Oreochromis niloticus: one gene and its partner. The protein of the gene in region 1 interacts with the protein of each later gene in a pairwise test. Links are inferred from orthologs where the notes say so. Each region holds a gene or a part of one and is shown in the gene's direction. Other genes may lie near its edges.

What was found.
Region 2: the proteins of mal2 (region 1) and tpd52 interact in a two-hybrid assay, tested with the Homo sapiens proteins (2 studies listed by BioGRID and IntAct). The link is inferred for Oreochromis niloticus from reciprocal best matches to the Homo sapiens genes MAL2 and TPD52.

What each region holds. Positions count from the first base shown.
Region 1 is NC_031976.2:8,402,808-8,406,559, forward strand, and holds the start of mal2 (protein MAL2), read left to right. Parts: upstream 1-1,230; 5' UTR 1,231-1,433; coding exon 1,434-1,562; intron 1,563-2,604; coding exon 2,605-2,775; intron 2,776-3,752. UniProt on the Homo sapiens protein: Member of the machinery of polarized transport. Required for the indirect transcytotic route at the step of the egress of the transcytosing cargo from perinuclear endosomes in order for it to travel to the apical surface via a raft-dependent pathway.
Region 2 is NC_031985.2:20,700,543-20,704,294, reverse strand, and holds the start of tpd52 (tumor protein D52), read left to right. Parts: upstream 1-915; 5' UTR 916-1,239; coding exon 1,240-1,363; intron 1,364-3,752.

The sequences.
Region 1 (3,752 bases):
GCCTTTTTAGAGGTCATATCAGCGCTGGCTCACATAACACAAATCCTGGCTAATCATTAACAGTGGCTTTTCAAAAGAACCTTCTCTTTTCATCCACAGTAACCGCATTTTCATTTCTTGATAATAACAACCTTGTGATCCACCAATTTCAACAAATTACTCATCAAAACTCGTCGTTTCAGTTGTGTTTGTAGCAAGTGTGTGTCGGTTTAGAAATCAGTGCTTTTATCTCTTCGGTTCTTACTTCATTGCTTAAACTAATATTTACTTTTAAAGCTTCTTTCCTCCTGCACTATGAAGGTTAACCAGTACCTGCACTACTGCTTCTTAGCCCATATTTCTTTTGTAACACGGATCAGTGAGTGTCTAGTCATGACTCCAGCTATCTGATTTTTGCCTCTCCCTAATACTCTAATAGCTGTGGTGTCTGCCTGCCGGTGGCCGTTCACACAGAGGGAGTAAAGCGCTCCAACAGAGTGATTCAGCGTTGTGTTAAATTGCTGCCTTCACTTTGCGTTAGATTTATCTAAATCGCAATAAGAGCGTTAACCTTTACCTTCGTTAATAACAGCAGAGATATGTGAAATTGACAATGAGGGTGTGGAGAGCTTAAAACTCAGATGAACAAACTAAAGAAATAAAGGAGTGACCTATCTATGGTTGTATCATCACCAGGCTACACACCCTTGAGCATTTTATGACCTTTCTGAAAGTCAGTACAAACTTAAATGCAACTAGAAATCGGACATAACAGTAGCTCTTTTATTATTGAGTCAAACCCACTTGTCAGTCTTTTGTATATGAAGAAATACATTTACTTGTTCTGGGCAACAGCTACAGTCTATCCCGTGTCTCATAAAGTAATAATTCAAAGCTGGATCACACGATTATTTGTGTTCTATCTTCTGTTCTTAATATAGCTATTCATAGCGTATACATATCGGTTAGAACTTTACACTTCCTTTTAAAATAAGTGATTTGTTGCCCGGACTGTGAGATTAATTCACTGTTATTATTTTATTAGTAGTAGTAATAGTAGTGAAAGTAGTATTTATTTGTAAATATTTTTTTGTTCAGCTTGAACCACTGCATGTATAACCCAAATCTTGTTTTCAAAATGAGCCAAATAGCCAGTTTTGCGCTCCCGCGGACGGCAATCACTTTCTGGCAGACAATCACTTTTTGGCACAACACCGGCGTTCGAGTGAAAGATTGGCTCTGGGCGCACAAACTTCCGTGATGTCCTTGAACGCAGCACGGTCTTCCAGGGAGTGGCCCCTGCACCTGTCCGACCTGTTCTGGGGGACATATGACGCCTGAGGAATTTCTCTCGCTGTCCCGGTCCTTTGTTTAACGGGCTCTTTTTAGTGGGAGACGAGAGGGCGAGAGAGAGAGAGGGAAAGAGAAAAGGGGGGAAGACAGAAACAGGAGAGATGTCGGAACCAGCCGCCAACCCCGCTGTCAACCCCGCTGCCACCTCGTTTCCAACGGCAACTATTACTTTACCTTTGGGACTGGGCGTGTTGAGGACTTATTCCGGAGCCCTCCTCTGTTTAGAAATAGTAAGTGTTGTTTTTATATTTAAAAAGGAGAGAGCGAACAAAAGGTGCACCTGTTGGTTTTATTTGTACATTTATCGGTGACCTCAGTGTGTGTGTATATAGTCACTTTGTCTTTATTAATAATTGATGATTCTTGCAGTTAAAGTCCAGTTAGACATTTACTTGTAGGATTTTTTCCTGCCATTTCTCCCCCTTTTTTCTTTCTCGGTGTCGTTGTCAGCGCTACGCACTGTGACTCTTCGTCACGGTGATTCCTTACAAGCAGCTCTGTAACCCTGCTGGTCTACGAGCGTTATCTCGTTACGAACTATTTATGACTTTAAGACTTTAATAAGTGAGCAGATAACTTGTTGTTTGCATCTGCAATGAAGTGCATTCTATAACTCGGCAAGGTGACCTCAACTCCACCTTTACATGCGTCCTCTAATCTTGGTGGTTATTTTACTCATTGTCTATCGCATATACAGCCTGACTAAACGCGCCTTCAGTCTGCCAAATGTTTTCTTGTGACTGGTATCAAACTTTGCTAATGCTAAAGGTGTTTCCACTGAATAAAACCTGTAGTATATACTGTTGATAATGACAGTCTTTCTCCAGAATGAATCATTGTAGCTATGGCAGTTTGACTTACATTCTGTTGCTGATCGGTATCCAAATGCTCCAAGCAGCAACAACATTTGCATCCTCATAGTCTGCCTTAAAACTTGTTGTACCTTGAAAACAATGCAACAGGTTGCTTTTGTCAAGAAACAAAAGTGACTGTAGCCTCAGGGTGTGTTTCAAAAGAACATTACAATATCATTTAAATCACTTTAAAGAATGCACCAGCTGATGCAGTAGTATAAAATAATATGTTCCGCTGACTCGCTGCCCTCATGTTACCTCTAAAAGAAAATGGTCTAAGGAATTTGCACACTGTGACGCAAGTAGATGAGATAGTGGATAGAAGCAGGCTCATTCAAAGTAGCCTTGCTAATGCAGTGAAAAAAATATAGGAATAACTGCGTCCGTCACTAACACAGGTTCTTGTGTGTGTCCTCAGTTATTTGGTGGTCTAGTATGGATCCTGGTGGCTTCGTCCAATGTGCCGGTGCCCCTGCTGCAGGGCTGGGTGATGTTTGTCTCTGTAACCACCTTCGTCTTCTCCTCCGCCTACCTCGCTCTCCTCATCACTGGTTTGGCTGACCGCATCAATACGGACTGGAACTTCTTGGTAAGCTGTTGATAGATTAGTTTGTCAAGCTTCCTGTCTGTCATGTTTTATCAAACTGGTGTACTGAAGTGTCTACATATCAAACAAAGACTCCCCTCTTAAAGTTGAGTCAGTAAACCTGTTTAGACCATTGCACATTGTTGTATTACAATAGACTAATATACAGTATCACAGTTGTTGTCAGTTTTCTCTTTAGCTGGTTGAGCTAGCTGTTGAATACAGTCTCCTTTATTGCAGGTAAATTAATAGGCTTTGTCAGTGTGACTGCAGATAAATTGTGTAATGTTCATTCCTTTGTTTTTGTTGTAGATATTGTGCCACCTCTGTGAACTGTTTACATTTTTAGCACACTACAGAACTTGGAAAATGACACAAGATATTATAGGGCTTTGAATCAATGACAAAAGGCAATGCAATGTTCACAAATTTATGCTGTATTTACCCTGACTCTCGTAGGATTTATGGATTCCCTTGTTGGGTTATGCATCACTTTATATGGCCCACTGAGATCCACTGAGATAAGATAACTTCTTCATTTTACAATCACTCAATCGCTTTAAAGTGAAATGAGCAAATTTTAAAGACACGTGACTGAAGATGCTAACCAGGACTGGATCAAAGCATTGAGCATTCAAATTGAAGTAAAACATATAGATCACAGCAAAGGAAGCCAAAAAAAAGTTTAATTAGTGCAATAACTATGTTATAATGTTTAAATATAAGTAAAAATGCCAGAAGTTGTGCCTTGTTCTTGTGTTGTCATTATAAAGGACTCATGTCTGTGTCCACTCTGGGCTCTCAGACAGAGCCACACTGGCCCGAGGCTCTGAGCCCCGCCCCAAGAGCGGCTTGTGGTGTTGTTTGTTTTCATCTGAACAATGAGTGACATGGATGATGAGCTCACACTAAAACACAACAAAGACCTGCCTGTAGACCCACGAGGCTCACCGAGTCAGCAGCACAAAATCTCTTAAACA
Region 2 (3,752 bases), on another chromosome or scaffold:
GTTTAAAACCAGTAAAAACTCAGTATAGGATCTTGCTTTGAGTCGACTTCACTCTAATGTTTAAACTAGCCGATGTTTGTTTTGTACCTCCTTCCACAATGCTCTCCGGCTCTTTCAGGGATTCTGTCCGTTCACAGTCATAAAACTTGTGCTGCTTTCAGTGCAACCTTGAAAGCTTCAGTGTCTAATATGTTGCCATCTACGCTGCTTTTTGCACATTTGATTGAAATGTGACAAGAATTGCGCTTATGTTTTCCTCTCTTTGTGCAGCCTAAATACCTGCTTTATGTCACGGCTCTTTCTTTTGTGTTACGACACGGCACAAAGTCTGCTTTCAGGCGAGAAAAACTTGATTAAAAGAGTTTGTTTTCATGTGATGAAGGTCTTGCATTACAGGAGCTTTCTAGTTCAGAGAATGCCATTGTGGCAGGCACACAGTAGCACTTGTTCCCTCTACCACTTCGCGTAGCCTCTGGCACCCTCTCTTCTCCTTTCTAGCTGACTAGCATTACCGCTGCTTCAAGCTGGACTGTCCACCCTGGATTAGAGCTTTGCTGTAATCTGGGACACTGCAGATTATGCTTTTCATCTAATGCGCCCCTACACAATCACATCACATGACCGGTCCACACAAATGGGGTCGCTCTCATTTCCTCCTCGATTGACAGGCTGGGAAGCGAGGGAGGGCGGGAACTGGCGGTGGAACCCGAGAGTATTGGAACAGGAGTACCGTGCGGTATCACAACAGCAGCTAGGCACCCGAAACAGCGATGGCGCACACGGTCTGCAGGATGGACTAAGAACTGACCTTTGGGATTATAGTGGAGAGGAAGTGGGAGGGTGTGTTTTTTGTGTGTCTGTGTGTGTGCGCGCTGGCTACAACAGCTGCTTGAGGGGACAGGTAACTTATTAACAGCAAGACAAGAGCAAAGGGCTCACAACACCTTGGCCCAAACAGAAACCGATATTTAGAAATTGGCATCACTGTAGTCACTCTCACCTTGTGACTACCTGAGGGCCGATACAAAACCTCCTTCCTTGTGCATGCACACACTTGGACACTCGAGTGTGTCTCCGCATGTCTAGCAAAGAAGGAAACGGACACAAGCAGCACGCGCCTGGGTCACATGCAAACAATCAGCAATAAGCACTCGGCTGGCTCTGCTTAGGTAGCGCTGGTAAAAAGGAGGTGGTAGTCGCTCCGGTCGGCAACGCGCTGAAAGCTGTAAAGAATAAAGCATGGACCCTCTGGAGGAATACCGCTCTCCGTTTGACTTTGAACAAGGAGTCAACACCAGCTATCTCTACCTCTCCCCAGCCTTAAGCGACACACCGCCCAGCTCGCCAGCTGTCAAAACCAGAGGTAATCACAAGGAGAGAAGGGAGAGGCCGAGTGAAGGGTGTGTGTTTTTCGTGTGTGTGTGCTTGCTGGATAAAAAGACAAAACATGGGTTTGGTTCATTGAACAGGAAGAATTTGGGGTGGGGGCACAAACTGGAGGGGGAGGGAACAAATGATGATTGTTGGCGATGCATATGACAGCATTCTCTCAATTTAGATGCTTCCAGATTTCAGAGTGTCGATCTCAGACCGTCATAACTCTTTAAACTTCAGTCATAATTATGCTGCTGTACCACACCACGCACCGTGCCCTCACTGCTCTCCATGTTTTCCTCCTTTTTCCTAGAAATGTAGAAAATAAGGATGCAATGACTGTAAAACTGTCAGTTTTTCTGTTTTGGGGAAACAAAGAAGTATTCGCTACAGTAGTTTAAAGTTATTCAGCTCTTTATCACGCTGTCTTTGAACATTTATCCAGTGCAGAATTGTTGGGACTTGTCCCATGGCTAAATGTAACAAGGACGATAAAAACCACCTCATTCTGCAGTGTTATACTCTGATTTTATCCGGTTCCTTGAATTACCACTTCATGTCCATTTCAGCTTTTGGAAAATCTGGTGTAGTAATCTGGTGTAACGTCTCATGAGGATCGTTTTTTGTCTTCTAATTCCAAATTTTTATTGAGTTAGATATAAACAGAAAAACACAGAACAAGACAGACACAGAGTGAGGCACACAGGACAGTTTGTACCATAAGTTATTGGGTGACATTTATTTGCCAAACGTCCAGTACAGACTGTCCATATCAAGTTATGCTTTGATTTTGTCTCATTTTTACAATTAAGCCTTTCCAACGAGTTCTCACAGGCAGAAGTGTTCATCATCTGTTCCCCAACCATCGTTCCTCCCATTATAGACTCATTCAGCTGTGGTAGGAATCTCCTGTTGTCATGGTACCTGGGTCAAGTTTTGTGTGAATTCATTATTCTTTCCTTTGCGTGATGAAAATGATTAAGAGTTTTAGTTTTGTATGGTTTAGACTTGAGTTTACTTTTTTTCTAGGGTCTCAGAGTCTGATATTAGTTTCCTTTCATGTCTCGTCCCTGTGTTTTGTCCTCGGTGTCTCCTGTGGATGTCAGTCTTGTTGTCATGTCCCGTCTGTCATAGTCTTCGTCTCTGTGTTCTGTCTTTAGCGTTTCCTTAGGTTCCCCAGCCTGTCTTATGTCTTCCTCTCCCTCTCTCCGTGTCTTAGTCATGTCTCTGCGTTGTGTCTCCTGTACCTGTTTCCATGTTCTTTGTCTCCCCACTCTGTCACGTGCTTCCGTGTCCGTTTACCTCCTATCCTACTGTCAAGCTTTCATGTCCTCGTCTGGGTCGCTATGTGTATGTCACTTCCTGTTTTATTTTGACAGTGCCTCGTCTCATGTGTGTTATGCTCAGTTTTGCTTCCCCTGTTCTGTTACTCAGATTTGTTCCAGCTGTGTTTCCACCTGTTGCCCTTCCTCTTGTTGTCCTGTGAATTCAATTCCTCAGTCTTCCTTTGTTCCTTGTCATGACATCGTCAGCTCCCTGGCTGTGCGCGCGCTCCTTGTGTCTTAGAGTTCCCAGCTCCTCGTAGCTCTGTTCATGCTGAGGTTTTTATGCCTCATGTTCTTTAATGCTAGCACTATAACGGTCCATGTAATCCAAAACATTTCTCCAGAAAGAAAAAAAATTTTCCCACAATGCATGCACATATATTTTCAGCATAAAGCATCCTTAAATAAACCCTTCTGTGTGGTCTAGAAGGAGTGTAGTCATCTTTTTTTTTTTTTTTTAATATCAGATAAATTTGCCCCCGGCTTCCCTGAAAAACTTCCCCCTTTTAGAAATGATGTTCTCCCATGACTCATCTTCAAATGTACAGCCAAGGTCTTTTTCCCAGGTCATCCAGAGACCACTGGTATTCCTGTTTGTCAGGGGCACCTTTCATACCACACAGATGTTTTATGGCATGCTGTTGAAAGTTGCAAATAACACAGTATGGGGTTAGTGTCTCGACGCAGCTGGATGCTTCTTTTAATACAAGCTCTAATTTGCAAGTATTTCCTCAAGAGGAGAGTTTTGATTGTAGGTATCCGGATCGCTGACTGTCACATTTCCTGTTGTTTTCGCTTGCGTGTTTGTTTACATAATAAGGTGGCCAAAATTTTAGGCACCACAATGTCAGAAAAAACTGCACGTATCAGTCAAGTTGCCACTTTTATATTAAATGTCATCATTTTACCCTGCTGAGCATTTATGCGAAATTTTCTTCTAATTGGTTATGGTTGACAATGTGCTCGGTGACCTTTAACCTTTGACTACCAGTATTAATTCATTCTTGAGTCCAATTAAACATCTGTGCAAAATTTGATGAAATTTCCATGAGG